Linked DNA regions of Elephas maximus indicus. The protein of the gene in region 1 interacts with the protein of each later gene in a pairwise test. Links are inferred from orthologs where the notes say so. Each region holds a gene or a part of one and is shown on either strand. Other genes may lie near its edges. The genes, in order: PAK5, UXT, INKA1 and TUBGCP4.

Evidence for each region.
Region 2: the proteins of PAK5 (region 1) and UXT interact in binary tests that used the Homo sapiens proteins (3 or more experiments, as listed by UniProt). The two-hybrid records come from large-scale screens. The link is inferred for Elephas maximus indicus from reciprocal best matches to the Homo sapiens genes PAK5 and UXT.
Region 3: the proteins of PAK5 (region 1) and INKA1 interact in binary tests that used the Homo sapiens proteins (3 or more experiments, as listed by UniProt). The two-hybrid records come from large-scale screens. The link is inferred for Elephas maximus indicus from reciprocal best matches to the Homo sapiens genes PAK5 and INKA1.
Region 4: the proteins of PAK5 (region 1) and TUBGCP4 interact in a two-hybrid assay, tested with the Homo sapiens proteins (2 studies listed by BioGRID and IntAct). The two-hybrid records come from large-scale screens. The link is inferred for Elephas maximus indicus from reciprocal best matches to the Homo sapiens genes PAK5 and TUBGCP4.

Annotation. Positions count from the first base shown.
Region 1 is NC_064843.1:48,555,390-48,562,560, reverse strand, and holds the start of PAK5 (serine/threonine-protein kinase PAK 5), read left to right. Parts: upstream 1-4,171; 5' UTR 4,172-4,276; intron 4,277-7,171.
Region 2 is NC_064846.1:123,951,587-123,959,297, forward strand, and holds the start of UXT (protein UXT), read left to right. Parts: upstream 1-4,708; 5' UTR 4,709-4,763; intron 4,764-4,789; exon of another isoform or gene 4,790-4,836; intron 4,837-4,942; 5' UTR 4,943-4,951; coding exon 4,952-5,049; intron 5,050-6,019; coding exon 6,020-6,101; intron 6,102-6,234; coding exon 6,235-6,302; intron 6,303-6,659; coding exon 6,660-6,767; intron 6,768-7,711. UniProt on the Homo sapiens protein: Involved in gene transcription regulation. Acts in concert with the corepressor URI1 to regulate androgen receptor AR-mediated transcription. Together with URI1, associates with chromatin to the NKX3-1 promoter region.
Region 3 is NC_064838.1:54,230,101-54,237,419, forward strand, and holds INKA1 (PAK4-inhibitor INKA1), read left to right. Parts: upstream 1-4,918; 5' UTR 4,919-5,004; coding exon 5,005-5,214; intron 5,215-5,967; coding exon 5,968-6,777; 3' UTR 6,778-6,819; downstream 6,820-7,319. Other genes in the region: CDHR4 (cadherin-related family member 4), read right to left, coding at 595-705, 1,074-1,165, 1,242-1,404, 1,527-1,711, 2,041-2,089; UBA7 (ubiquitin-like modifier-activating enzyme 7), read right to left, coding at 7,068-7,197. UniProt on the Homo sapiens protein: Inhibitor of the serine/threonine-protein kinase PAK4. Acts by binding PAK4 in a substrate-like manner, inhibiting the protein kinase activity.
Region 4 is NC_064828.1:12,618,274-12,626,200, reverse strand, and holds the start of TUBGCP4 (gamma-tubulin complex component 4), read left to right. Parts: upstream 1-4,917; 5' UTR 4,918-4,924; coding exon 4,925-5,002; intron 5,003-7,927. Other genes in the region: ZSCAN29 (zinc finger and SCAN domain-containing protein 29), read right to left, coding at 7-708, 2,538-2,742, 3,191-3,508. UniProt on the Homo sapiens protein: Component of the gamma-tubulin ring complex (gTuRC) which mediates microtubule nucleation.

The DNA.
Region 1 (7,171 bases):
AAGAAAAGGAAGCAAGCAGAGAGTTGGTGACCTCATACCACCAAGAAAGCAGTGCTGGGAGCAGAGCGCGTCTTTTGGACCTGAACTTCCTGCACTCAGATGCTCCCAGACCAAGGGAAGACTGATGACAAGGACCTTCCTCCAGAGCCCACCAAGAGAGAAAGCCTACGTCTGGAGCCAGTGCCCTGAATTCAGATTTCTAGCCCTCTGGACTGTGAAAGAATAAACTTCTCTTTGTTAAAGCCGTCCATTTGCAGTATTTTTGTTATAGCAGCACTAGATGACCAAGACAGATGTATATCCTATAAGCTTTTTGTTTATGTTAGTTGAAATCTTCTTTTCCAACTCCTGTTCTTCTTCTAACCCAATAATCTAGCAAATGCCCAGTTCTTTTCTGGAATCCATGCTGGTTCCATTATTATTGTGACTGACCTTTGAAGGATGCCAGCTATTTGCTTCTGCTGCAAAAGACCTCTTTAAAGTGTTGAAAAGCAAAGATGTCACCTTGAAGACTCAGGTGCACCTGATCCAAGCCATGGTGTTTTCAATCACCTCATATGCATGCAAAAGTTGGACAAGGAATAAGGCAAATTGAGGAAGAATTGATGCCTTCGAATTGTAGTGTTGGCAAAGAATATTGAATATGCCATGAACCGCAAAAGGATTGAACAAATCTGTCTTGGAAGAAATACAACCAGAATGGTCCTTGGAAGCAAGGATGGTGAGACTATGTCTCACATACTTTGGACATGTTATCAGGAGAGATCAGTCCCTGGAGAAGGACGTCATGCTTGGTAGAGTAGAGGGCCAACGAAAAAGAGAAAAAGCCTCAAGATGGATTGACACAGTGGCTCCATCAACGGGCTTAAGCATAACAATGATTGTGAGGATGGCGCAGGACTGGGCAGTGTTTTGCTCAGTTGTACATAGGGTCGCTATGAATTGGAACTGACTAGATTGCACCTAACAGTACAACAACAAGCTATCTGCTGATTAACAGCATGGGGGAGAGTAAATAGTAGGGAGAGTAAGCTGAACCTTGATTCCAGTGTGTTGTCTTAAACATCTTCCTCAACTCATCTACTAAGTTTACTACCGCTGAGGTACATTTTTCCACAGGTTTTTTATAAGATTGGTTGAGGTCAGTTTTTCATGAAATATTGACCAATGGGTAGGTCTGTTTTATTGAAAAACATGTTCTTCTAGGTCAATCTAATATTTAATATCCCAAAGCTTTCAGATTTTAACTATAGATTTTGATAGCAGAGAAAAGACTTCTTGAATAGCAGAAAATGAATATATGCCTGCTCAATAGATTATAATTCTTCACATAAGAAAAAAGAATGTATATACCTAGACAACTAAATAATCAGATAAAATACTTCCAACTTCTGATTACAGGTTATTGCCCAACCTTTAAATCCCTGAGCTGGCTAGAAAAGCCATTACTTATTTAAAAATTTACACTTTTTGAAATTTTCTGGCAAATCAGTTGAGTTCCACTGCCTCAGCTTCAGGGAGCTGCCTCATCTGAAGTTCAAGCCCCTTCCAGGGGCAGCCCATACGCAATGATTCACAAGGCGATACAAAGACCAGACCATCTCAGCCCATCTTGGGGGAACTCTGAGGGCCACTCTCACTCCAGAACTCCCTGTGAGGTTGGCCAAGCCTGTCATCGGCCTGTGTCACAGCTTGACTTCTCCCTGTGCCCACTCTTGCTTCCACCATCTCTCAGCCATAGGTGTTGGGCCCAAGGGCACTCCTTAATCAACAGCCTGCATGCTAAACTCTGTCTCAGAGCCAGCATCATGCGGAAGCCAGCCTGCAAAAGTGAGGAAAGTAAGAAAGAACGCTCACTAATTTCTCGGGTTCACACAGCGAGTTGAAAAGACAGAATCACAAGTTAAGTTCCTAAATTTTCTGCCCTACTTAGATACTTTGCTGTATGACTTCTCTAAGTTCCACTTATTTATCAAGAAAAGACATTATATAAAAAGAAATCCCTTGGCACTTAATGCAATAAAGTATTTACAGAAATATTATTAGTATTAATTTATAATTTTTACCTGGCAAACTTTCAAAATGAATTTGAGGCAGCTAACAATAATCATAGTATTTATCTAGTAGAAATAACCACATGAACACAAGCGTTATATATAATAGGAGAGATATTTTAAATGATCAAAGCACTGTATTTCAAAGCATAATTTTAATTGATACCACCAAGCCAACAAATAAATAACTCTGTGAATATGTTTTCTTTTGCATCTGTGCTCACTCACATACAAAAAAATCAAAATAGAAAATATTTATGCAAATAATGGTGCAGGTGGCAGTGGGGGTGGTAGGTGGGTAGTTAGGGCTATGTGTGCAGCTTAGAGAATTAAAGAGATGGGTTTGGAGACTCCTATTCCTCTGATTGGTACACCATGAGTGTACGATATGCCATGATATATTTCCCCACCATACACAGGAGTACTGAGGAAGAAAAGTCATCAACCATTTAGCCCACAATTCCTGTTCTGATACAGAAGCTGCTGCATGAGGGTTTTAAGTGAACAGAAGACAAACAAGGGGAAATGATAACTATTCCACCACTAACGAGAAAACAGTCTATGGTTATTGAGTATAATAGAGTACTGATAGATACAAACCCTCATTTTGTAATCTGCTATCTATTCAGTTATGGGCTCCCATGATACCATATGCACTAGCTCATAAGTGTATTGTTGAGGCAGCTGAGGACAGAAGAGGGTATGACTTGTTTACTCTTAGTATTTGTTCTCCAAGGTTGAAAATTCATGCCTGGCTTCCTCATGTCTTTCTCTCACTGTCGTGTGGGCAGGGAATACTCTTGACGATGCTGGAGCCTTTGGGAGCTGGGAGGGGAATGGGTAACTGGAGGATTTAAGTAGAACCACAAGATACGTTAGAAGCTTTAGCCCAAGCATCACTCAAGAGAAAAGCCTGTCATCTCTTGGCACAAAAATTGCCCTCCTTTTATCAGAATCTGTCAGTTCTTTTTAGTCAGGTAAAAACCGAAAAAAAAAAAAAAAAAACCTACTGCCACTGAGTCAATTCTGACTCATTGCTACCTTATACGACAGAGTAGAACTGACCCATAGGATTTCCAAGGAGCAGCTGGTGGATTTGAACTGCCGACTTTTGGGGTAGCAGCTGTAGTCCTTAACCACTGCATCACCAGGGCTTCCCAGCCCTATCATTACATGTACAATAAATTGACACTTTGAAGCCCAGACTGGGGAACAAGCAAGGCACACTGGTTCACACTTAGTGGAGCAGTTCAGTGGTGGCTAACGAGCAAAGTTGGCAGCAAGAGGCCCAGACCTCATTTTCTAAACCAGATAGTAGCCAGTTAGGGCTGGGACATCAGAGCTCGGTATTAGAGGGCACAGCAACCCCAGGTGCTACTACATTTGTGGAGTTACCAAGTCATCTGTAGGTAGAAGGGGCCTATGTGGGGCCAGAGACCATTTCTGGGACAGCTGATTGAGGGACAGCCACTCACAAGCCACCCATGAGGAGTTGTCCGGGTCGTTTCTACCCAGTGTGGAGGATCAGCACCACTTGGAAGCTTCTTTGACATGTGGGATCTCAGGCCCCTCTCCAGAACCGAATCAGAATCTACATTTCACTCACAGGCACAGTAAAGTTTGAGAAGTGCCGGTCCAGGTGGTCCCCACTGCTAGCAGCTGATCAGCCTTTCGGCTCCGCCCTTCCTCCCCCCCTCCCCCTTGCTGGCTTTTTAAGCGAAGCTCAGCCCGGCCTTGTCCTGCACGCGCAACAGTTCGGCAAACCCGGAGGGTGTGGGGAGGGCGCGCACGAGCTGCCCCCGCGGAGAGGCCAGAGGGAAAAGCGTGACCGGCTAAGGGCTGCGTGCCCCGCACTCTGCTGTAGGGCGAGCCGACACTCCCCCGACCCACCCCTTCTCCACGGCCTGCGCCGCTCCAGCTCGCCTCCCCGGCTGTCACGAAAACCCGGAGTCGTGGCGCGTGCTCCTGCCACGTCCTCCTAGGGGCGAAGCCCGGCAGCCGGACATGCTCAGTAGCGGGAGGAGCTTTGGGTGGAGAGTAGAAAGCTGTGGCTCTACCTCCCACCCCCTCCCTCTGGCCCCCGCCCCCCTTGCCCCTGCTCAGCTTGTAGTAGTTCCCCAGCGTGCGCCCGGGGAGACCGGGAACATGGCGCTCGGAGCGATGTAGCGGCTGAGGAGAAGAAAGGGATGAGCCACCGCGCTTCGTTGACAGCCAGCCACCAGGTAGGCAGGCGCGCCTGGCGGGGTTGCCTGGGTGGACATCCGCACGGGGAGGGGCGCTTGTGGGGATGCGCGCGGCTGGGACCCGGGGCATCTTGCTTTGCCGGGAGAGGATGCGAAGAGGACATCAGTGACAGCGCGCGATTGTGCATCTCCTAGGAGATGCCCAAGGCTGGGGACCGGCTGCTTAGAAGGAAGGGATCCAAGGACTATCCCCCCACCCCCCATGCGCTACCATTCAGCTTGGGATCCCTATGGGTCAAATAAAGGGTAGTTCCTTTCTGTTGGGCGAGAGGGCGTGGGGAAGAAACCTAGATAGCAGCCCGGGGAGCGCGCTGGTACCCCGGACCTCTAGCAAGCCCAGCACCGGTTCTTTTGTGTATACAGCCGCGCACGCCCGGGGGTGCCACGATGCCTGTTTCTCCCGAGTAGTGTTGGACATATTGCCAGGGCAGGATTCCGGTATGATTTTTGTCTCTTGGCAGGTGTGGACTGGAAGAACCAATAGCTGAGCCTTTATAGGGCTGTGTTTTCCTTTGTTACTTGCCTCGGTATGTGTGTGTGCGCGTGGTGGGTTGTAATGGAGAGAACCAACTTCTGCTTGTGGGCACGGGTGTGGGCAGAGTGTGGAAGAGGATCTCGGTTCCAAACTCTTGTCAAAATTGTGAGCGGTTTTGGCTTCCTGGAGGGTAAACTTGAAAAGTCCAGGGACCATCAGTGCCCAGTTTGGGTTTGGAGGACAAGCCTGATCACCTCTCTTGAAACGTGTTTAGCTGGAGCTTTAAACATAGGACATGAGTTAATGCCTCAACATTACATATCAGTAAAGGACATTGAAAGTATTGGTGCTATCTTTTTTTTTTTTTTTTTTATGATGGACGTTTCAAGGCCAGGGCAATAAAGAGAAAGAGAAGTTGGCATAAAGCCAGAGAGAAGTGTCATTGTTAATAGTTGATGACAGCTTGCAAGACTGAATACAGTTTGGGGGGGTGGGGAATCAGGAAACCTGGCATTCAGCTAAGATGCTACCAGGAAATAGTCGTAGGGTCCTAGGGAACTTAGAGAACCTCTCTGCACCTTCTTTTCTCTTCTCTGTTTTGGTGGCATGAGGGTACACCCTCTTTCCTGAGTCTAGAAGGACAAGATGCTCTTTAAAGGCTCCTTCTAAATTAGAATTCTATGAAACCAGTCCCTAACTACAACCTTACATTTGCATATCCCATTCAGGGAATTGACATGATCCTGTAAGTTCTCTCCTACATTTGTATGTATTCAACATTTTAATTTTTTTCTTTATGATATAAAGGATGGACATCTGTGAATATGAAGTTTAGAGACACTTCTACACTGACACTATTCATTTTTCTGGTCTCCTTAGGTGGCAAAAATGAGCCAGTATCATCAAAATAAAATGGGAAATGCTTGAGAAAAATGCATTTAAGTAAATCCTTGACTTGGAATACGTATGTACCAAGCAGAAGCATTGCTAATGGAAGCAATAGAAGTTGATGGCAAGTTCATTGATACCATTGGTCTTAGAATAAAATTTTTGTGTTCCTCTGTGAATGGATAGAGATTGATTGATTGATTGCAACTCATTACTTTGGTGATGAGTGTGAATTTTCATTGCACGCATTGAAAACACCAACACTACTGGTACTAGAAATGGGTGTTCTAGGATATGGTATCATCTCGATGAGACAAAGCTGAGTTTGAACTCTAGCTCCTCCACACTTATCTCTGTGATCTTGGGTAAGCTATTTAGCTTTCGCAAGCCTCAGTTCCCTCATCTGTAAAACAAACCTGGAAGTAGGAAGAGTAATACCTAAATAGGTAAGTGTGAAGATTACTTATAGTATTAACCGCCAGGGAAATAGTGATGACCATTATAAGGGGAAGGGAAATGGATGTTTATTGAACCTATACTATGTGCCCCATATTATGTTAAACCCGAAAAACCCAAACCCATTGCTGTCGAGTTGATTCCAACTCATAGTGACCCTATGGGGCAGAGTAGAACTGCCGACCTTTTGGTTAGCAGCCAAACGCTGACCCGTTGTGACACCAGGGCTCCCATATTATGCTAGTCAGGTTCAAACATGTGATTGCATTTAATCTTCCCAAAATCCCTATGAACCATTTTAATGACAATGTTAATATTATGTCAGCCTAAAAGAAGAAGGTAAAGTAAAGTAGATAAGGTCAAAAAAGACCTTAAAAATAATTTAATACAACTAACCTGTTTGAGGGTTTATGTACCCTTCCGTGGTGAAGGGAAGAACAGAGCTTAGAGGTACCTCACTTACACAGATTCACTTATCTGGAAACCCAGACAATCCAGGATTCAGATCTTATCTATAATGTACTGTCCCAAACTGATTTCTTGATATGGTTTTCCTCCCTTTTGCTACCCCACCAACACAATGCAAAACAAATGAGCAAAAATCCAAAGAAAACAACCAAAATGACAACAGCAACAAAAATATCCCAAACTTAACACCTTTCTAGTTTTTCTTATCCTTGTAAATGGCACTATCGTCCATGGAGTTGCTTCAGCCAGAAGCCCGAGGATCATCTTTGACACCTCCATTCCCTTTATTTCACATCCAAAACCATCACACGGTCTTATAAATTTTGTTTTCTAAATATATCTCAATGGAGCCTCCATTCCATCTCTACCACCAACACCATCAAACTCCAAGTCATCATCTCTCACTTGGGCTACTAATATAACTTCCTAAGAAGACCTCCTGGTTTCTTGATCCTTCTAGTTTCTCATCCACAAAAGGCAGTATCATGTGAATTCCCTGCATACAACACATCCATACAGCTGGGACGGATTACAGAGACTCCTGAAGTCTTGGGTACGGGGCCAGCCTCATCTTCAACATGTCTTCC
Region 2 (7,711 bases), on another chromosome or scaffold:
CTGATAGTGTTCTCCCTGTTGTATATAGTAAATTTAACACCTTCTTTTCATAAGACCGAAACCAAACTCATTGCCAATGAGTCAATACAACCCATAGCGATCCTCTAGGACAGAGGAGAGCTACACCATATGGTTTCCAAGGAGCAGCTGGTGGATTCGAACTACTGACCTTTTGGTTAGCAGCCAAGCTGTTAACCACACCACCACCAGGGCTCCTTTCTTAAGACGGTGGTGTAATATTTGTCTAACTACCTAGTGTGTTTCAATCACATGAAACGTAATTATGAGAGTTACGAAAGTTTTTTTAATCTCAATATTTCCTATACAACACCCTTGTTCAATGAGCAAAGAAAAACTAGATTTGGTCAGGTTTTCGGCATTTGAAAAATGAACCTTGCTTTTACATACACAACATACAGATTTTCTGGAAAGTCTTTCCGATAGGGGTTGGAGCTCAAGCCCCTGCATACGAGAATGGCGTTTGGGGGATTCCGGCCTGGACTTGGCTGGGTTAGATGCCTCTGTTTAAAAATCTTACAAGGGAAATAAGTTCAGTCCCTCACTTGAAAGCATGAAAAATACATTAATAAAAAGCTTACATATTTAAATAAAACACACGGGAAATTATTTCTAACCACAAGATAGCAAATCTTGGACAGAGGACTCCAGCGACCCTCCATTTTATCCCCCTATTAAATGAGGAAACCCCGGTGGTGTAGTGGTTACGTGCTATGGCTGCTAACCAACAGGTCGGGAGTTTGAATCCACCAGGCGCTCCTTGGAAACTCTATGGGGCAGTTCTACTCTGTCCTATAAGGTCGCTATGAGTCAGAATCGACTTGACGGCAAAGGGTATTAAATGAAGTGATTAGATACAACGCTTTGTCAATCTCCGCTTTAACCCCACAGTTATAGATTGCAGATCGCAGAGCTGGAGTCATAAAAGATGAATTTTAGATTTGTCTCTGTTTAAAAATCTTTCAGTGTTCACACTCATTCCCATCACCGGGAGTTAAACTCAAATTTCGCAGGTGAAAAATCAGAATCTAGGTAGACAGATCAAACAGGATAGACCCTCTTTTCGACATGTTACCCGATTAGGGTCCGTGCCCTGGAGCAGTCCAGCCAATAAAACACACCAAGTCACAAAAGACAAAGTTTTCTCAGGAGATGCATACATCACCGGGGACTGGCAGCAACACAGGCTATCTCTATGGAGTTCCAAAGAGCAATTTTACATTAGAGCTTCTATAGAATTTTACAAGGGTTAGAAATGTCTTCGTAGTTACCTGAAGTACAACGCTGTCAGTGATAGGAAAATATCCATACACCTACAAGGAAACCAGTTAATACGACTATTATTCAAATTCATGCACCAATTACTAGGGCCAAAGATGAAGAAATAGATTTTTATCAGCTGCTGCAGTCTGAAATTGATCGAACATGCAATCAAGATGCATTGATAATTACTGGCAATTGGAATGCGAAAGTTGGAAACAAAGAAGAAGAATCAGTAGTTGGAAAATATGGCCTTGGTGATAGAAACAATGCCGGAGATCGTATGATAGAATTTTGCAAGACCAACGACTTCTTCATTGCAAATACCTTCTTTCACCAACATAAACGGCAACTATACACATGGACTTCGCCAGATGGAACACACATAAATCAAATTGACTACATCTGTGGAAAGAGACGATGGAAAAGCTTGATATCATCAGTCAGAACAAGGCCAAGGGCCGACTGTGGGACAGACCATCAATTGCTCATATGCAAGTTCAAGCCGAAACTGAAGAAAATCAGAGCAAGTCCACGAGAGCCAAAATATGACCTTGAGTACATCCCACCTGAACTTAGAGACCATCTGAAGAACAGATTTGACACATTGAACACTAGTGACCGAAGACCAGCTAAGTTGTGGAAGGACATCATACATGAAGAAAGCAAGAGGCCATTGAAAAGGCAGGAAAGAAAGGAAAGACCAAGGTGGATGTCAGAGGAGACTCTGAAACTTGCTCTCAAACGTCGAGCAGCTAAAGCAAAAGGAAGAATTGATGGAGTAAAAGAACTAAACAGAAAATTTCAAAGGGTGTCTCGAGAAGACAAAGTATTATAATGACATGTGCAAAGAGCTGGAGATGGAAAACCAAAAGGGAAGAACACAATCAGCGTTTCTCAAGCTGAAAGAACTGAAAAAAAATTCAAGCCTCGAGTTGCAATAGTGAAGGATTCTACGGGGACAATATTAAACAATGCAGGAAGCATCAAAAGAAGATGGAAAGAATACACAGAGTCATTATACCAAAAAGAATTAGTTGATGCTCAACCATTTCAAGAGTTGACATATGATCAGGAACTGATGGTACTGAAGGAAGAAGTCCAAGCTGCTCTGAAGGCATTGGCGAAAAACAAGGCTCCAGGAATTCATGGAATATCAACTGAGATGTTTCAACAAACAGATGCAGCGCTGGAGGTGCTCACTCGTCTATGCCAAGAAATATGGAAGACAGTTTCCTGGCCAACTGACTGGAAGAGATCCATATTTATGACTATTCCCAAGAAAGGTGATCCAACCGAATGTGGAAATTATAGAACAATATCATTAATATCACACACAAGCAAAATTTTGTTGAAGTTCATTCAAAACTGGCTCCAGCAGTATATCCACAGGGAACTGCCAGAAATTCAGGCCGGTTTCAGGAGAGGACGTGGAACCAGGGATATTACTGCTGATCTCAGATCCTGGCTGAAAGCAGAGACTATCAGAAGGATGTTTACCTGTGTTTTATTGACTATGCAAAAGCATTCGACTGTGTGGATCACAACAAATTATGGATAACATTGCAAAGAATGGGAATTCCAGAACACTTAATTGTGCTCATGAGGAACCTTTACATAGATCAAGGGGCAGTTTTTCGGACAGAACAAGGGGATACTGATTGGTTTAAAGTCAGGAAAGGTGTGCGTCAGGGTTGTATTCTTTCACCATACCTATTCAATCTGTATGCTGAACAAATAATACGAGAAGCTGGACTATATCAAGAAGAACAGGGCATCAGGATTGGAGGAAGACTCATTAAAAACCTGCATTATGCAGATGACACAACCTTGCTTGCTGAAAGTGAAAAGGACTTGAAGCACTTACTAATGAAGATCAAAGACCACAGCCTTCAGTATGGATTGCACTTCAACATAAAGAAAACAAAAATCCTCACGACTGGACCAATGAGCAACATCATGATAAACGGAGAAAAGACTGAAGTTGTCAAGGATTTCATTTTACTTGGATCCACAATCAACAGCCATGGAAGCAGCAGTCAAGAAATCAAAAGATGCATTGCATTGGGTAAATCTACTGCAAAGGACCTCTTTAAAGTGTTGAAGAGTAAACATGTCACCCTGAAGACTAAGGTGAGCCTGACCCAAGCCATGGTATTTTTGATCGCATCATATGCATGTGAAAGCTGGTCAATGAATAAGGAAGACCGAAGAAGAGCTGACGCTTTTAAATTGTGGTGCTGGCAAAGAATATTGAATATACCATGGACTGCCAAAAAAATGAACAAATCTGTCTTGGAAGAAGTACAACCAGAATGTTCCTTACAAGCAAGGATGGCGAGACTGCATCTTACATATTTTGGGCATGTTGTCAGGAGGGATCAGTCCCTGGAGAAGGACATCATGCTTGGCAGAGTACAGGGTCAGCGGAAAAGAGGAAGGCCCTCAACGAGGTGGACTGACACAGTGGCTGCAACAATGAGCTCAAGCATAACAACGATTGTTGAGGATGGCTCAGGACTGGGCAGTGTTTTGTTCTGTTGTGCATAGGGTCGCTATAAGTCAGAACCTACTCGATGGCACCTAACAACAACAACATAGAATTTTAGAAGGGTTAGAAATGTTTTTGTGGTTACTTAGCTGGAGGTATGCTCAAGAGGGGTCATTCATTACAGGATAGTGACAAAAGATACCTGCCAGACATCTCTTCATTAGGCTAAAGATACAGATATATACCTGGGCTCCAATTTTCCTGTGGGGGTTGTATGCCACAGGTTGTCGGACATTACAAAATGTTATTTGCCTCAGTTTAAAACAAAGTTATTAACATTTGGTCAAAACAAAGCCATTAGCAGAGGTATGTGAAGGAGAGGACAGGCAGAGGAAGGAGAAAAACTTACAGGTTCATCATGGCGTTAGTTATGTCGAGCTCTCAGTTGCCCATTTTGAATTAGGAAAAAAACATGCTGGGGAGTATACGGGGTCACAGGCAGCCAGAACCAAAATTAATTCTTGCCCATCTGCTTCTGTGGCCCTTTTAAACACCAAATGCTTCACTCCACTTCTCTAACTCTGCCTATGCTTCCTGTATCCCCTTAAACCCTTTAAAAAACCTTTTGCCGTGGAGTCAATTCTGACTTAAAGCGACCCTATTAGTCCTACATCCTGCATCCAGGACCCACCAAATCCCATTAGGCTCCATCCCCACCAGCCACGCGTGCATAGGCTTCACGCAGCTTTCGCAGCCCCATCGGTTTATTGCCATACAGTCCCTGCTTCCACGCTCTACGGTCTTCCAGGTCTCCTCAGAGTCCGTAAAGCCCAACCCTTCTCTTCACGCCTTTGACCGATCTTTTTCCGCCAGGACCGCGCCTCCCCACCTGGCTATTTGATTGGCCGCCTGCTTGCCACTACGTCATTTAACCGCGCCACCCGGAAGCCGCAGTTTATACCAACTCTCCGTTCTGGTTCCCGGCGGCTCTGAGGTAAGGGGCGCGTTTGAGTGTCTCTCTGTGGCAGGGATCCCAGAGTTGGGAGGCGCGGAAGGCGCAACTCCCGGTATGAATCAGACGAGCCCATTCCCAACGTTGGGAAGGTGAAGATTTACTGCGCAAGAGGCCAAACTGGAGTGGTCAAAACGGCCTTCCCTCTCCCCACTCCTCAGGAGCTCATCATGGCGACGCCCCCTAAACGGCGGGCGCTAGAGGCCACGAGTGAGAAAGTGCTGCGCTATGAGGCCTTCATCAGTGACGTGCTTCAGCGGGACCTGCAGTGAGCGGGCGTGGGGGGGCGGGGGGTTGTAACCTTCCACGTGGTGGGCGGAACGTTTAGTGTCAGCACAGAGCTTTCTGATTGGCAGGTGGGGCGTTCTGGCCCGGCCCAGCGCCCCTTTCAAGCGGGAAGGAGGGGCGACATCCGGGGTGCAATTTGACTGGGACGGGGCGTTCAGCGCGCAGGGCGTGTCTGCGCGTGCTTGACTTCGACATCCCTTAATGGTTAAAAGCTAGGTTTCTGAGGCCGGAGTTCTTAGGTTCAAATCCCGGCTCGGCCACTTGTCATCTGTGTGAACATGTACTTCGTCGCCTTTTCTCTGCTTCATTTTTCTCATCTGTGAAATGGAGAAGTTGACAGAGCCCTCAAATCTGGTGGTTTTGTGTTTTCAATGTGTTCAAATACTTCTAAAGAATTTAGCGTGGATGTCTGAAACATACTAAAGGCTCAATGAATATGAAGAATTACTGTCACTGTTAATATAAGTGGGAAGTTCGGTGTTTACAACTAGGACTTTGAGCATCCTAAAAGGGATGGAGGATTTTTCTAGGGTGAGAATGAGAGATTCTGATTGGTCAGAGGCATTGACAGTCATTTATAATAATATTAATAATAGTATAAATAATACCTAACACATATATAGAGCTTACTATTCGGCAGATATTATTCTAAGCAGTTTATATAACATTTAATTCTAACGACTGCATGAGGTAATACTGTCATTATCCTTTATAGATGGGGAAACTGAGTCCCAGAGAGGCTCCTTACTTGCCAAGTTGACATAGCTAGTAAAGGAGAGAGCCTGGATTCAGACCCAAGTCGTCTGACTGCAGAGTCCAAAATCTTATCTTCTGCACTAAAAGGCTTGTTCAGGGCATGGGGCTATAAGGGTCTCACAGAGGCAAGATATGAGGTATCCCAAGAGGGACAGGGTCACCTGTTGGTCACCACTGGACTCTCACTCCATCAGAAAGGTGCTGGACCATCGCGACAAAGTATATGAGCAGCTGGCCACATATCTTCAACTAAGAAATGTCATTGAGCGACTCCAGGTAAAGATGCCAAGGTTGGATACCTTTTTTGTGGGCAAGGGAGGAAGACAAGAGGAGAAACCCCAGACCAAAACCTGTCTCTTGACTTAAAATGTGAGTACTGACCCCTTCCTCTTTCTCCCTGGCCCCACAGGAAACTAACCACTCGGAGTTATATATGCAGGTGGATTTGGGCTGTAACTTCTTCGTTGACACAGTGGTGTGAGTGTCTACCTGCCCCTCTGAGCCCACAGGATTCAGCATCCCCCTTCCTTCATTCAACAAATATTTTGAAGGCATCTGCTCTAACCAGACACAGCTAGGTGCTAGGGATGTGACAGTGAATAACATAGAACAAAATCCCTGCTCTCCTAGAGCCTCTATTTGGGGAAGATGGGGGAGGGGAATCAAAAAACATCTTGAATAAGTTATACGGTATACTACATGGTGGTAAGGACTTCCCCCTGCTTCCTCTAACTTCTTTGGGGGAGGGGAATCAAAAAACATCTTGAATAAGTTATACGGTATACTACATGGTGGCAAGGACTTCCCCCTGCTTCCTCTAACTTCTTTCTTCAGCCCAGATACTTCACGAATCTATGTGGCCCTTGGATACGGTTTTTTCCTGGAGCTGACATTGGCAGAAGCTCTCAAGTTTATTGATCGTAAGAGCTGTCTCCTCACAGAGTAAGTCCCTTCTATGAGGATCGTGTCTAAATCACCAGTACCCTTCTTCCTTCTCCCCATATCTGCCTGGGATGGTACTTAGGGACCCATCTCCCCTCCTTCTCAGGGCTGGGGCTGAGGAATGTGAGAACGGAAAGCTGAGCCCCAGGCACAGCACATAATAAGCAGTCTTTTTATCATTCATCAGACACTTATTGGGCATCTCCTATATGCCAGGGTCTGTGTTTGGTGATGGGGATGCAGCAGTGAACAAGAAAGAATGGTTCCTTGAAGGCTTACATTCTAAGGGATGAGACAGATATTAAGTATACTGTTATAAAAAAGAAATACATAAGTACAATTATGACCAGATCTGTGAGGTCTCGTTAGCCTGTAAATCAGTAACAGTAAAACAAGTTATCTCTGACTTTACCTCCTGCTAATTCCCCTGCACATTCACTGTGCTGTTGTTACACTGACCTTCACACTCTTCTTTAAACACCCCAAGAATGATCCCACCTCAGGGCAATTGTACTGGCTGTTCTCTCTGCCTGCAGTGCTCTTCCCCAGATAGCCATGTGGCTTTCTCCTCACTCAAATGTCTTGTTTATAGGCCACTTCCTCAACGAGGCTTTCTTTAACCTAACTTTAAAACTGTAACCCCTAGCACTCCTGATTCCCTTCCCTTAGTCTTTTTTCCCCCCAGCACTTATCACCTCCTAATATTTACTGTGTAATTTACTTCTTTGAATGTGCATTGTCTCTTCCTATGAATATATAAGTTTTACAAAGAGAGAAATTTTGTCTACCCAAGTGCCTAGAATAGTGCATAGGCACTCAGTGTTTGTTGAGTGAATTAAAAATGGTATGCGGAAGCAGAATGAAGTGGTAGTCTGTGTTAGTGGGGATGGTGAGGTGATATGAGGAGAAAGTGTGGGCTCCAGTTGAGTTTGTTTTGCGTGGCA
Region 3 (7,319 bases), on another chromosome or scaffold:
CGGTGCACACAACCAGAAGGGAACCATGATATGTGTTCTTCTATAGTCTATGCCCACTTCCCCTCTCAAGGAGCCCCAACACTCACCCTCCCCATGACCAGTCACTCTGCTGACAGGTATACCTTTGAGCCCCATTCCTTTGGACCATAAGTTCTTCTGTTAGGATACAGATAGCCCAAGAATGATATCTGAGTCATTCACAATGTGAATTATCATCTTAGAGTTGCTAAGAGCCAATCATCAAGAGGTGAAAATTTTAAGGAAGGGATTTCTCTAACCTCCTCCAGACTACACTGGCCACTTTACCCAGAACTTTCCCTTTAGGTGATTGCCCTCAACAATTTCCTTTCTATTACAGCAACTATGAGCTTTAAGAGCCAGGGACCCTTCTTCTCTCTGGATTCCAGATACCAGCACAGAACCAGGCCAAGATGGGGACAGCCAGCATGCAGCAGCAGGTTCAGGGTATGGGCTAGGTCTGGAAGCAGCAGCATAATCGAGAATGCCAAGAACAAAGAAATCTCCAGGGGGTAGAGTCTCTACCCATTGCATCCCCAGTCCATGGATACCCCCCAGGTCCCAGGTCATGCTCACCTTTTGAGACTGGCCTTTGAGGCCCTGGGCTGGCACCTGCAGCCAACCCTGCTGATTGATGGAGAAAGATCCAGGGAAGTATGAAGGGTCCTGGGCACTGGTGATGCTCATCTGACAGGACAGAGATGCTGGAAGCTCCATCTGCTTCCTCGTGCTCCAAGCACCCCTGTCAACATCCTCCAACAACCTGACAGGCACCCACCCCACCCAACTCTCCCATGCTCCAGCCCTTGGCCCTCACACCAGGCTGGGCTCCCCTCCCTCCACCTGACCCTTGGTCCTTATCCACAATCCTCTCTGCTTTTAAACCAATTATTTTGTTTTTAAACTGCATTTCTTTTTTTGATTATAAAAGTGATACTGAATTGTCATGGAAAACTCAGAACACACAGGAGAACTTGAAAGAACCCCTGAGATGACCCTGTGGCTTGGTCTCCCATCTCCCTGTAACTTCTCTCTGCCCCGTGTGTTGGGCTCACCTGGGCTCCTTTGAGTTCCAGGCCTGGGAGCAGCAAAGTGTACAGCCGGGCCCCCGGTGTGACCGTCTCTGGCACCTCAATGATTTCCCCAGCTGAGCAGAAGGGAGGTTAGGGAGGCTCTGCTCAGGTCATGCCTGCCCACCCCCTGCCAGCTGCCCCCAGCCTCACCTGGGCTGGCAAATCGGCCGGCACACTGGACATGACTGGGATCCCGCTGCACATCCAAAAAGAGTGGCCCCTCAGTCACATGGATGCCACACTTGAATCGCAGCTGCAGTCTGTAGTGGTTTACTGCTAGAGCATCAAGCCGAACCGAGCTGCTGAAAGTCACCTATGGCATGTGGGCAGGCCACGTGGGGTCTAGGCTCTCTGTTTCCCTATACCACCTTCAACTTTGGGAATTTCAGGTCCACCCTGTGTCCCCATGGTCCCCAGCTGTGCCCAAAGCCATACCGTGCCCACATAGTAGGAGCCTTGCCTCCTGAGGCTGGGTGGGTTGAAGAAGGTGGTGGGTGGCTGCACATAGAGCAGCTCCAAGGTGGGTGCGGAGGAGGTGCAGTTGAAGGGGAAAGGCTCAAGAACTGTGCCAGGGCCCAGGCTCTCAGAGATATTCATGAACCAGGGCTGGCTGTGGAGGTCTGCAAGGGGCAGGTGATTCAGGCCGGAGGCCCGCCTATGCTCACAGAACCACAGATGTGAGCATAGCCCTGCCTGTCTACTGCAGTCTTGGGGCCAAGCAGCCAAAGCCCTTCTCTGTCCCCCCCATCTAAATGTGGGTCAGCTCATTTCACAGACTTGGTTGAGGAAGCAACCAAGATGAGAAATGAGGGTCAGAGGCTCTTACCCCTGCCCTTTCCTGGCTCTTCCCCAGTCCCTGTCCTCCACAGTAGCTTATCTAAGAAAGGCCAGAACTCCACTGTGGAGTTGGAGGTGAGAACTGGGGCTCCCCTACCCACCAGCTCCTCACCAAAGACACCCAGAGCAAGAAGGAGCACGAGGGGCCTGAGTAGCTCCATGGTGGCCAGAAGATACAGTCAGCACTCCAGAAAGCTTGATGTGTTTGACAGGCTTACCTGGTTGCCAGGTCAGTTGCTCAGACACAGCTGGGCAGGCAGGACTCCTGGACCAACCAGATTCTAGCCCCGCCCATCCCTGGTGACTGAGCTGTAGATCCCAGGTAGGCATAGACAATCCCATTTCCCACTGTCCCCAACCCATTCATTACCACAACCCTAACGGAACACGAAAGGAGGAGGATAAAGATTCAGATGGGGAAACTGAGGCTTGGGGAAATCCTGATCGCTCAGTCCTTGGAGACAGAGCAAGCACAGTGCCCAGGAAAATTGGGCCCAGGGTATGTTACCCCACACACAGCACATGAACTCTAGCTGTCTCCTCTCTACCCTCATGAGAACATGATCTGCCCATGACACCTGAGTTCCAACCATCAGCAAAATCTCTCAAAAGTTGTCTACATTCAACAAGGAAAAGGAATCATTGGGATAGAATAGAAATCAAATTAGTAGTTACCTCTGGAATTATCAGCTAGGAGGGGTACGAGGTGGCCTTCTGGAGGTGTGGGGATGTTCTATATCTTCACCTGGGTGTCCAGTGCACAGGGGTCTACAGATTTCAACATTTATTGAGCTGTACCTCTGAAAACTAAAAAAGCAAACCCACTGCCATCGAGTTGATCCCAATTCACAGTGACCCTATAGGATAGAGTAGAACTGCCCCATAGGGTTTTCAAGACCTTAAATCTTTATGGAAGACTGCCACATCTTTTTCCCACTGAGCAGCAGGTGTGTTCGAACCACCAACCTTCTGGTTAGCAGCCAAGTGGTTAACCACTGTGCCACGAGGGCTCCTTGTACCTTTGAGATTTTTCTGTTTATCGTATTTATGTTACATGTCAATTTTGTAAAAGTGGCTACACTTGTACTCTCCAGTTCCTCACCTCTCACTCTCTGTACCCACTGTAGTCAGGTTCGTCCCTCCTTCCACAAAACTTCCCTGGTCAGGGTCCTCAGTGACCTGCACACTGCTGAATCCAGTGGCTTCTACTCACTTCCTTGGGATTGGTGATTCCTCAGGATTGTTTGATGTTTGCTCCCATTGGCTTCCAAATCCCACACTCTTTCTGGTATCCTCCCACCTCCCTGGCCACTCCTGCCCAGCTCCTTTGCTGGTTCTGCTTCATATCCTCAACCTCCTAATGGTGGAATGTTCCAGAACTCAGTCCTACCTGCTGCCCTCCTCTGTCTACACTTATCTCTTCCCATCTCATACAGGCCCATGGCCTTAAATAACATCCACTTACTTTGTCTCCCAGATCCAAGCATCCAGTACTGGCCTCTCTCCCAAACTCCGGAGTCACACAGCCCAAGATCAACCCTGCATTCCCTCTTGGATGTCTAATGGGCATCTCAAATCCACAAATGATCATTTAATTTTCCTCTCCAAACTCACTCTTCCTCAGTATTTCCCAGATCAGTTCATGCAAACTCCATTCAACTAGTCATTTAGGCCAGAAATCTAGGAGTCATGCTTGATGCCTTTCTTTTCCTATCCACATCCATGCATTAGCAAGGCTTGGTTTTAGGTCCAAAATATACCCCAAACTGACACCTTCTGTGAACCTGCTCCTCGCAGATCCAGGCCAATCCCCTCCCTTGCCTGCATGAGGGCAGGAGCTTCCACTCTGATTACACAGTTGGTTCTCCTACAGCAGCCAGAATTCTTTAAAAAGGAGACACGCCAGGTAATTCCCTGCTCAAAGTATCCCAGTGCTCCCCAGCACACCCAAAACAAAACATGCATTTCTCTCTAAGGTTGCAGGGAGTCTGGTTTTCTTAACCTCTTCACCACCACCCCCACCCCCACCCCCACCCCCACCCCCACCCCCCCACCAGCAGAGATCTGTGTTCTGCCCTGTCCAGCTCCATTCCTGCCTCAGGGTCTTTACACCGGCTGGTCCCTCCACCTAGAATGCCCCTCCTCAGGTCTGCCCCATGATGGCTCACCCAGATCTCATCCTGAGTACCAACTCCTCCAAGAACCCCCTTCCCAAGCTAGCCCATGGCCCTCATTCCGGACATTTTCTTGTCTGCTGGTGTCTACTCTGTCTCCAGTTAGACTGTACCCTTGAGCCTAGCCTCTGATCACAGAGCACCCTCAAGGGGACCGACTCTGGCCATCCCGTCAGATGAGTGGCACTCTTTCTTCCCGCTCTCCCACTGCCCCCCCGCACTGATCCTCAGTATGCATGTGGTGCTTTGCAGAGGGGCTGTCGCACAGAGTATGCGGTGGACCCGAATAGCGGCGGGACTCGCGGCTAATCGCGCGCCCCCCACCAGGGGGCGACCCTGCCTAACTCGGAGCGGCAGGGAGGGCTGGGCTGGTTCCTGGCTGAGGACCTCCCCCTGCGCTGACGCAAGGTTCCGCGTCCCCCGAATTCGGCCCGGTCGCCTTCCCATCACTTCCAGCGATTGTCGAGGTCCAGCGAAGCGGGTCCAGCCGGTCTGGCCCCCAGAAGGCCACAGCATGGCCGGGCCGGACGACTCGGGATGCTCACTGCCCCGCCGGGCGGGCACGTGGACGCCGCGGGGGGACCCGCGCTCACGGGGCCTACGTAGGAGGGACCGCCGTCCTATCCTGGGTCCCACAGGGAAGCAGAAGCCGCCGCGGGGAAGCGACTTGCCCTGTGTCATGCGACGAACCCCGGGTTAGCTCAACCAATCAGGGCGTCGGGGGAGGGGTTCCGGGTCGGACCCCACCCAGCTTCCAGCCACAGCCCCGCCTCCCCAGGCCAGGGCAGAGGAGGGAGAGGAGGCCTCCGGGCCGCCCCGCTTGCCGGCCCGAGGGGCGGGGTCATTTCAGTCCCGCCCCGCCCCCATTGGCTAAGGCTCCGGGGGCGGGGTGCTGCTGCCAGATGTTGGGGCGGCGGCGGCGGGAGCTACGGAGAGCGAGGAGCTGCGGCTCGAGGCGGAGGGCGAGGGCCCCGCTGGCCCGCCCGCCAGGCCCTCTCTGCGCCGCTCGTGCAGCGGTTCGAGGAGAAGGGGGCAGGCCTGACAGAGACTCCGGCACGGGTATGCACAGCGCTCGACTTGACAGCTTCCTGGGCCAGCTCCGCTGGGAACTGGTGAGGCTTGGGCGCGGGTGTGGTTCGTGGGGACGAGTGGGGGATGCTCTGCTGCCGCCTGTCCCGAAAGTGGACGGGTGGGGGTTGTCCCGAGTGCCCATCCGAGGAGGGATGGGGGCGGGGCGGCGCAAATGGCCCAGATGGCCCGCGTCGGGTTTCGGACAGTTGGGAGCTGTGCTGGGCATCAGGTAACAAGCCACCCAGCTGGCCGTGCTGCCAGGACGGCGGGGGGTAGTGGTGGTGGGGGAGAAACCTTTTTTGGGGCCAGGCAGGACAAACCAAGGGACTGAAGAGGCGCTAGTGTTGTGGACTCCCCCTACCCCGGGCTGGCCTGTCCCTCTTTCCTCCACTCCTTACCTGGAAAACACTGTAACCTCCTCTGAAAGAAGCTGTGGCCTTGGGAGAGTTGAATCCCCCAAGAGCTGTGGGATGCCTCCCCCAGCACTGGGCAGGCCCTACTTCGCTGTGCAGGCCCACACCCCTGCCGGCCCGCCTTAGTGGCGGGTACTGACTTGCCTGGCCCTGCGTGCTGCAGCCTGCTGGACTGCCACCAGGTGGGCAGATGGGAGCCACACTGGCTTCGTGTGCCAGCACCCCAACACTGGCCCTGTGCCCCCCAGCAGCCTTGCCACCCAGGCCAGCAGATCTCTCCAGCTCTCCTTGGCTCTCTGTTCTCAGGGCTCGCTGGGCCAGGCAGGTAGGCAGGGCTAATAAGTGCTGCTGCTCCGACTTGTGCTCTCTCTTCCTCTGCAGCTGTGTGGCCGGGACACAGGCTCACCCCAGATGCCTGGCTCCCTGAAGCCATCCCCCAAACCTGGCCAAGGTGTGCAGCCCAGCCACCGGCTCAGGGCCTCAGATGCCTCAGAAGAGGATTCGGCCTGCTGTGTGGAAGAGGAGGATGAGGAAGAAGTCATGATGACAGGGGACAGGGGTGCAGCCTTGAGGGGCCCCAGGGAGCACACCCTGGACTGGGACTCTGGCTTCTCAGAGGTGTCAGGGAGCACATGGCAAGAGGAAGAGCTGCCCGTATTACAGCGCCCAACACCCCCAGCACGGCCCCCGGACAGCCAGCGCCTCTCAGCCAATGGCCTCCCCCTGCCTAGCAGGGCCTCTTTGGCCAGTGCACCACCTGCCCACAGACCACGGCCCAAGTCCACCCCTGATGCCTGCCTGGAGCATTGGCAGGGACTGGACGCGGAGGACTGGACAGCAGCCCTGCTGAGCAGGGGTCGCAGTCGCCAGCCACTGGTGCTGGGGGACAACTGCTTCGCTGACCTGGTGCACAACTGGATGGAACTGCCCGAGACAGCGAGTGAGGGGGGCAGTGGGGGCGGGGGTGGGCCCCGTGCCCGCACTCGGCCCCCGCAATTCTTGCTTGGCCTCTCCGAGCAGCTGCGGCGCCGGCTGGCTGGGGCACGGAGGGCAGCTATGGCGGGAAAGCGGCTGTCGTGCCCACCTCGCCCGGAGCCTGAGCTGCCTGCTGACGTCTCACGCTTTGCTGCCCTCATGAGCTGCCGCAGCCGTCAGCCCATCATCTGCAATGATGTCATCAGCTACCTCTGACCCTGCCCCCAACCTGGGGACAATAAAGGCCTTTCTCTGGACTGTCCTGGCTCCATACCCCTGAGGCTCCAGGAAGTAGCTTCAGCCCCAAGAGGCACAACTGAGTCGAGAGAACCTAAAGAACTTTTCCCGTCCAGGTTGGGGTCCCTGTCATGCCCATGTCATGCTCCATGTGTCCCATCATCCATCCTCTGCACTTAGGTCTTCAGTAAGCATTTATTGAAGGCCTGCTGTGGGCTCAGGATGCAGGTGTGGGTTTGGTAGAGCCAGGTGTCAGGGCTGCTGCCTTATCACAGCTCATAGTGCAGAGGCGGGAAAGCAGTGTCCTCCTCCTCACCCTCACAGCTCAGCTCCAGTACCAGGACCTGCTGCCCAGGCTCAGGCACCTGCCCTGTCACCCGCTGCACCAGCTCTGTCACCCTGGCGGGGGAGGCAGGGGTTGAGGGAAGTGTGTAAGTGAACAATGGCAGCCAGAGAGCAAGTGACCTGGCATGGAGTGGAGGGTGCTGGTGGGCCATCAGGAGCCCAAGCCAGGAGCCAGA
Region 4 (7,927 bases), on another chromosome or scaffold:
TCTTACCACTTGGGCTGCAGAACAGGACTGGTGCAGATGAGCTGTCGGAGTCCTGGGGGGTAGCCTCTGGGCCCATCTCATCACTGTCAGATCCCTCAGCCATGGCCTCTTCTGCTCCCCCATCAGGCTGCCAGCCCTCTTGCCCTGGCTTCTCAGTCTCAGCATCACTGCCCACCAGACCAGAGTGAGAGGCTGCCTCTTCCAGGCAATTACTGGGCAGCGCGATGACCTGCGCGCTCATCAGGGCTTCCATCTCTTCAAAGAAGGGGCAGGTCTCAGGTGGATGGCCACTTTTGACTTTCCGATAGCTCTTCTGGAGACCTTTGAACTTGGTTCGACACTGTTCCAAGGTCCGGAGGAAGCCATACTCTCGGAGCCGCTTAGCCACTGCCCCATACACTTGGCTATTTCTATGACAATTTCGGAGAGCCTCATAAAACTCCGTCTGACTGAGAATTGCAAGGAGAGTTCTGGTCTCTTCATAGCCCCAGTGCACACCCACTACCTTCTCATCCTCAAAGCCCCAGTGATCCTGTTCTACCCAGGTTCTTCTCTCTCTCCTGGATGGTAACAGATCGGCAGGCATTCGTCTGTCTCCAGTGTGACTGCCTCCTGGGAGTTCCCTCTCCTTGGAGCCCAGCAGATCTGGGATCCATGGCTCTCCTTGCTCCGGCCTGGAGACCACACCAGATTTAGGAAATGGAAATCCTGCTTGCAGGGAAGCAAACAAAGGATATCATAGTTTGGACTGATCATATAAAAATCTCTGAGTTTAGTCCTGCCTTTTTTATCCAAGGTTATTAGGAAAGCGTCTGGGGAAATGTTTTCAGGAAGTTCAATGGGTTGAGGAAAGTGGAGCAAATACTGGAAACTTCAAAAAATGAGAATTTTCCAGAGCAGGGTGACAAGAGAACAAGGTTCTGTTGTGTGTTCAGAGCAGATAATTCTATTCCAAGTTGCTCCCTAACTGTCCTCACCACTTCTTGGCAGGAACTGCTGCACACAGTTATGTCCTGTCTCCTATAGTTCTTCACCGGGGGCTAGAGAAGCAAACTCAGTGATTTTAATGTGAGGAGGGAGTTTGTCTTCAACTCATCCATTTCCATATTCAATCGGTCACTAAGTTCTAAAGGTGCTTCCTCCCTACTGCCACCATACAAGCCCGGACTCCTCATCGGCTCAAACCTGGGTAACTGCAGCATTCACTGCCCTTATCTACCCAACCCAGGCCCTTGCCTTCTCAGTCCACAGGCTATACTGCTGCCACCACATCACTTCTCTGTTCAAAGCCTTCAACCACTCTCTAAATCCACCTCGTCCGATCCGTACTCCACTCCAGTTTTCAGCATTAGAATTAGCCCTGCCCTGCCTGTTGGCCTTCTTGTCTACCATGCATTCTCCACTCCTATTAGACTCTTCTCTCCAGAACACAGCTAACTTTTTATTTACCATTTTGTGCTTTCTCTTTAACTCTCTTCCTATCAAAATTTAACTCATCCTTCAAGAAGCTGTATTTGCCAGTGTCTCAGAGACTCTCATCTCTCACCTGGCCAAAGCCCTACAGCACTCAAGCACTGAGCAACAAGTCACTGTTTGGTCCTGTTCCAGTACAGCTCAGCACATATTTATAGTTGGGTTCTCAGTCACACTGTAAGCTCAAGAACCTGCAAGGGGCTGAGCATGCTGTCGGTGTTTAAAAACCAACTGATTTAATTCTGCCAGTCTGTGGTGGGGTTCAGGGATTTGAGCTGGATGACTAATAAAGGCCATTACCAAACTGGCTTAGAAGGCTAACGTCTTGGATGATAAGATCAGAATTCAAAATAACCTGAACAAGTTACAGAAATGATCAAAGAAAAAAAATACAAAATGGACTTCAACAGAGTTCAAAGAAGAAAAACAAGTTCTACAAAATCAATTACAAGCAGCAGCAACTAGGCACAAAACCAATAGGGAAGGCTATAAGAATCCTGGGAGTTAACAGGTGAACAAAAATTATCAAGTAATTATCAATTGGATTATACTGAAAGAAAATGCAGCAAACTTGTGAAGGAAAAGCTCCCGTTCTGCCTTATCCTCACTGGAGTAATACACAGAACTTAGTTCTCCACAATTAACATTTAGGTTAAAGGAAGTTAATGACAACTTAGGTCTGAGAATGGAGCTTCCGGGGAAAAGCTTAAAAAATAAACACAGCTTCATTTGGAGACGGAAATGACTAAAAGGAGGATGTGCCTTTAAGTACAGAAAAGAATTTTTAACTAGAAAATAATGACCTACTATTATCATTACCAAGAGGAAATAAAATAGTTCCAAGTTCTGATAAAAACTAGGAAGTTACCCTCTCATGCACTTATCAAAAGTACAAATACAAAAAACACTTACTGTAGGCTGAGAGCTTAACTACATGCCTTCAGGAGGTCCCCAACAATTGCATATCTATTTAGTCCTGAAATCCCTTTCCCGCTCACTACTCCCAACCCTATTTCTCCCAGCTCAGAATGGCACCTATCTACCCGCATGAATCTACTCCTCACCGCTCCTTTGAAAAGGTCTGAGCTTCTCCTTTGGGTTCATCTGCTCCTGTGGTCCCAGGTCTGGGCTTCTTGCCCTCTCTTTCTTGGGTACACCCCTGGGCTGGGGTTCCACTGACTCCTGCCGAACACTTAATAACTCCTGTGATGATTTCAGGGGTGTCATCTTCTCCGAGCGCACTTCCTGCCCCTTCACAGAGACTGTGACCTAGAAACAACCCCCATTAATTGTCACTGCAAGGTCATAATGGGGGGCATTCCCAGAGGAGATTAATACCCCAAAAGATCATCCTTCTGGGACATGGCTAGAGTTGTAGGGATTGGGGGTTATAACAAACAAGTAATTCCATTACTGTTAGCTTAGAGCAGCTGGAACTCCAGAATGAAAAGACCAATATAGTTAACCCAACTACAAGTTAAAAAAAAATTCCTGATTAATGAGCTACAAATAATTCATTATGGCAGGGTAGGCAAAGATACACCCAGGTAGCATCTCCAGACAAACTCTATATGAAAAAGTTACCTGTTCCAGGGTCAGAAGTATAAGCATCGTTGAAGGAGACTGTGCCCCTCTTTAAACCTATCTATACCTTAACCTGGCTGTTACCCTTACCCTTTTGCGATCACACATTTCTGAACTCCCCCTCCTTTCTCACCGAACGTCCAGGTCTTCCAAGCTGTCTTTCTAAATCTTCCACCAGAGCCACTGCCTCCTCTCCACTGTCTGGACAATGTTCCTGTACCCAGTTCTGGATCTCCCCAGGTAAGACCGCCAGGAACTGCTCTAGCACCAACAACTCTACAATCTGCTCCTTGGTGCGTGCTTCCGGCCTTAGCCACCGACAGCAAAGTTCCCAGAGTTGGCTGAAAGCCTGCCGGGGCCCTGCCACCTCCTGGTAATGGAATCTCCTGAAGCGTTGTCGGAAGGTCTCAGAGTTAGTGCCATCCCCTCTCAGAGTGGGTCTGGCCATCATTCACAGCAGAAAGCAGCTTCCCTCTACTTAAGGGTCTGGGCTCCAGGGCTTACACCTATCTTCCCATTCCTTGGAGAATCACCTGCAGTCTCTCTGTAAGAGGAGTTTCTTCCTAGGGTAGAGAGAGATGGCACTATCAGAAGGAATATATTCATACGTCTAAAATCCTGCCAGGGCTGGCCTGACTTCCCATATGCTCCAGCTGGCCATCTGAGGTAGCACCATCTTCAGGGCAGCAAGCCAAGGCTGTGAGCTGAAGGAGAGAGACCTTTCAAAAGCTGCGTTTCTGGGCGACCTCCAGGGCAGCCCGGGGAAGCACCAGAGAACGGAGTACTGTGTCTGCTCCTCTCCCACCTCCCCCAAATCCGACCCCATTTAGCTCCCTTGACCAGTACTACATAGTGAGTTCGAACCATATGGGAGACCTGGAGTTCGAGAGGATCTACAGACAAGTCACCGTCCTGCCGAGAGCAGCGGGTCGCAGCTGTGTCCCCCGTACCTCGGCAGTCCTTCCCGGGGCCCTCTCCGTCCGCCCCGCCCCCTCCGGCTCCACGACTACCAACTCCCACCCCACACAAAAATCAATTACTAAATGTCGAGTCTTTGTTTCTCCCCCTCCGCAGAGGAACCGTTCGGCGAGGACTCGAGAGCCACTGAAGGGAAACCGAGCGCATCGGGAGAAGGCAGCTCCGACTCCTGAAGCGAGGGCCGGGTGGGCTTGGGGAGAGTCACACTGAGTTGGTAGAGAGGGAGTCCAGGGAACGGTCGGGATGGGTCTCCTGAGGACGAGCCAGGGTGCCGGCCAGAGGCTCCGAGGGCTGCGGGGCTTGCCGGCGCGGAACTCGGCTCCAGGAGCGGCGGGTACGGGGTTCCGGCCTCTTTGTCTTCGCTCCCTCCGGCCGGGTCACTCTCGGAGCCCCGTGCGCTGCCTAACACGGGCCTCCGGCCGGGCTACGGCGCCCTGAGAACACTCTCCGACACAGCCCTGGGAGCGTCTCCCTCAGCCCCCTCGCACTCCTGCCCCCGGGCCAGCTTCACCCACTCAGCTCCGGCTCCAGCCCCAGATCGCCAGCCTCCCAGGCCAGCTCCCAAACCGGAAGTGCGAGCGGGCACCTCAGGGCAGAAGGGGCGCATGCGCACCGGCCGCTACTACGCCTCCATCTCCCTCCCAGCCCGGCGGGAGCGAGCGGGTGGGACACGGCGGGTCCGCGCACTTCCGGGACTCGGCGCCGACCCCTTCCGCTCTTCCCGTCCGCTGTTCCCGCAGCAGTGGTTTCGGCGGGGTAGATTCCGGACGAACTGCCCGTCCCAGCGGCCTGTGCACGCGTCGAGGCGGGAGAACTCGCCTCCGTGGTCCCCTGGAGGGGCGCTGGAGGACAGGGTGACGTGGCTAGGGAGTGGAGGTCCGCCGTGGGAATGATCCACGAGCTGCTCTTGGCTCTGAGCGGGTACCCGGGGTCCATCTTCACCTGGAACAAGCAGACCGGCCTCCAGGTACTGCGCGCGGGAACGGCGGAGCGACCGCGGGACTAGAGCCGGAGCCAGGGGGTGGGGTCTGAGGGAGCCGAGGGGGCAGGGCGTGCAGGGCCCGCGGTGTTGTAGGGGGTGTGTCCTAGGACAGACAACCGGAGCTTGGTGCCCGAGGGGCCTGAGGGAGGAACACCCTGAGAGAGCTGGGCCGAGGCAGGGAAACTGACAGCAGACCCGGAACGTCCCCGCCTTGGGGGGGACGGAGCTGCTCCATAGGGTTTTCAAGGCTGTGACCTTTTTGAAGCAGGTTGCCAGGCCTGTCTTCGGATGCTTCTGAGTTGTTCGAGCCAAGGAGCTGGGCGGCTCCGATGTAGAAGCTAAAGAGGCTCCGTCTCTCATTTTCACATTTGCACTGTGTTTCAAACTGAATTTTGAAGACTCACAGCGCTTGACTCAATAAGTGCCGAGCAAATTTTGTTGAATGAAGAAATGAACGAGAGGGTGGAGAACTTAGAAGCGGGCCTTCAAGGTACCGGGGCTGTAGGAGGAGGAAGTGCTGAGGAGTAGACGTTGTTTGGAGGCATTATCTCGTTTGGAGCCCTGGTGGTTAACAGCTTGGCCGCGAAGCAAAAGGTTGGTAGTACCAGTCCACCATCCACTCCTTGCAAACCCTGTGGGGCAGTTCTGCTCTGTCCTATAGGGTCACTATGAGTCAACAGCAATGGTTTATTTGTTTAATCTCTTTTAACCTTTGCAGTCACTTTATCTCCATTTAACAGATTAATTTAGACTCAGAATGCTAAGTAACTCCTGGGGTTACATAGATAATAGTTGTTTTTGTTCGTTGCTGAGTTGATTCCTACTCATGGTGATTCCATGTGTGCAGAGTATAGCTGCTCTATAGGATTTTCAAGGCTGTGACCTTTCAGAATCAGGTAGCCAGGCCTGTCTTCCAAGGGTGCCTCTGGGTGGGCTTGAACCGCCGTCTTGGCTAATAGTTGAGCGATAAACTATTTGTGCCACACAGGGGTTCCTAGTTAATAATTTTTCTCCTGTGCTGTCAAGTCAGTTCCAACTCATAGTGACCCTGTGTGACAGAGTAGAACTGCCCCATAGGGTTTGCTAGGCTGTAATCTTTACAGGAGCAGATCACCAGGTGGGCTGGAACTGCTGCTGACCTTTGGGTTTGCAGCAAGCTCCTAATCATTGTGCCACCAGGGCTCTTTAGCTAATAATTAAAACCACACCCACTGCCATCGAGTCAATTCTGACTCCGTAAAGATGCCCCACGGGGTTTTCAACACTGTATGGTAATCTTTTCTACCATGCTTTTGTCAGTTTGTCATACTGTGCTAGCTTGCATGTTGCTGTGATGCTGGAAGCTATGCCACCGGTATTTCAGATAGCAGCGGGGTTACCCATGGTGGACAGGTTTCAGCGGAGCTTCCAGACTAAGAATAGACTACGAAGAAGGACCTGGTGGTCTACTTCTGAAAAAATTGTCCAGTGAAAACCTTATGAATAACAGAACATTGTCTGATAATAGTGCTGGAAGATGAGCCCCTCAAGTTGGAAGGTACTCAAAATACTACTGGGGAAGACTGCATCCTTAAAGTAGAGTTGACCTCAATGACGTGGGTTGAGTCAAGCTTTCAGGACCTTCGTTTGCTGATGTGACATGACTCAAAATGAAAAGAAAAAGCCGCAAACATCCATTAATAATAGGAACATGGAATGTATGAAGTATGAATCTAGGAAAATTGAAAGTTTAAAAAATGAGATGGAATGCATGAAGATCAATATCCTAGGCATTAGTAAGCTGAAATGGACAGGGTGTTAGTCGTCTTGAATCAGACAGTTATATGGTCTACTATGCCACGAATGACAAATTGAAGAGGAATGGCGTTGCATTCATCATCAGAAAGAACGTTTCAAGATCTATCCTGAAGTACAGCGCTGTCAGTGATAGGAAAATTCCATACACCTACAAGGAAGACCAGTTAATACGACTGTTATTCAAATTTACACACCAACCACTAATGCTAAAGATGGAGAAATTGAAGATTTTTACCAACTTCTGCAGACTGAAATTGATCAAACATGCAATCAAGATGCATTCATAATTACTGGTGATTGGAATGTGGAAGTTGGAAACAAAGAAGGATTGGTAGTTGGAAAATATGGCCTTGGTGAGACGCCAGAGATCGCATGATAGAATTTTGCAAGACCAACAACTTCTTCGTTGCAAATACCTTTTTTCAACAACATAAACGGCAGCTATGCACTGTGAACCCCACCAGATGGAAAACACAGGAATCAAATTGACCACATCTGTGGAAAAAGACAATGGAAAAGCTCAATACCATCAGAACAAGGCCGGGCCAACTGCGTTCAGAACAAGGCCAGCCAACTGCAGAACAGACCACTAATTGCTCGTACATAAGTTCAAGTTGAAGCTGAGGAAAATTAAAACAAGACCATGAGAACCAACGTATGACCTCAAGTATATCCCACCCGAATTTAGAAACCATCTCAAGAATCGATTTGATGCATTGAACACTGATGGCTGAACACCAGACAAGTTATGGGATGAAGAAAGTAAAAGGTCATGAAAAAGATGGGAAAGAAAACACCCAAATGGATGTCAAAAGAGACACTGAAATTTGCTTTTAAATGTAGAGCAGCTGAAGCAAATTGGAAGAAATGATGAAGTAAAAGAGCTGAAAAGATTTCAAAGGGCAGCTCAAGAAGACAAAGTAAAATATTATAATGAAATGGGTAAAGACCTGGAGTTAGAAAACCAAAAGGGAAGAACACGCTTGGCATTTCTTAAGCAGCAAAAACTGATAAAAAAAAATTCAAGCCTTGAGTTGAAATTTTGAAGGATTCAACGGGGGAAACATTGAATGATGCAGAAAACATCAAAAGAAGATGGAAAGAATAGACAGT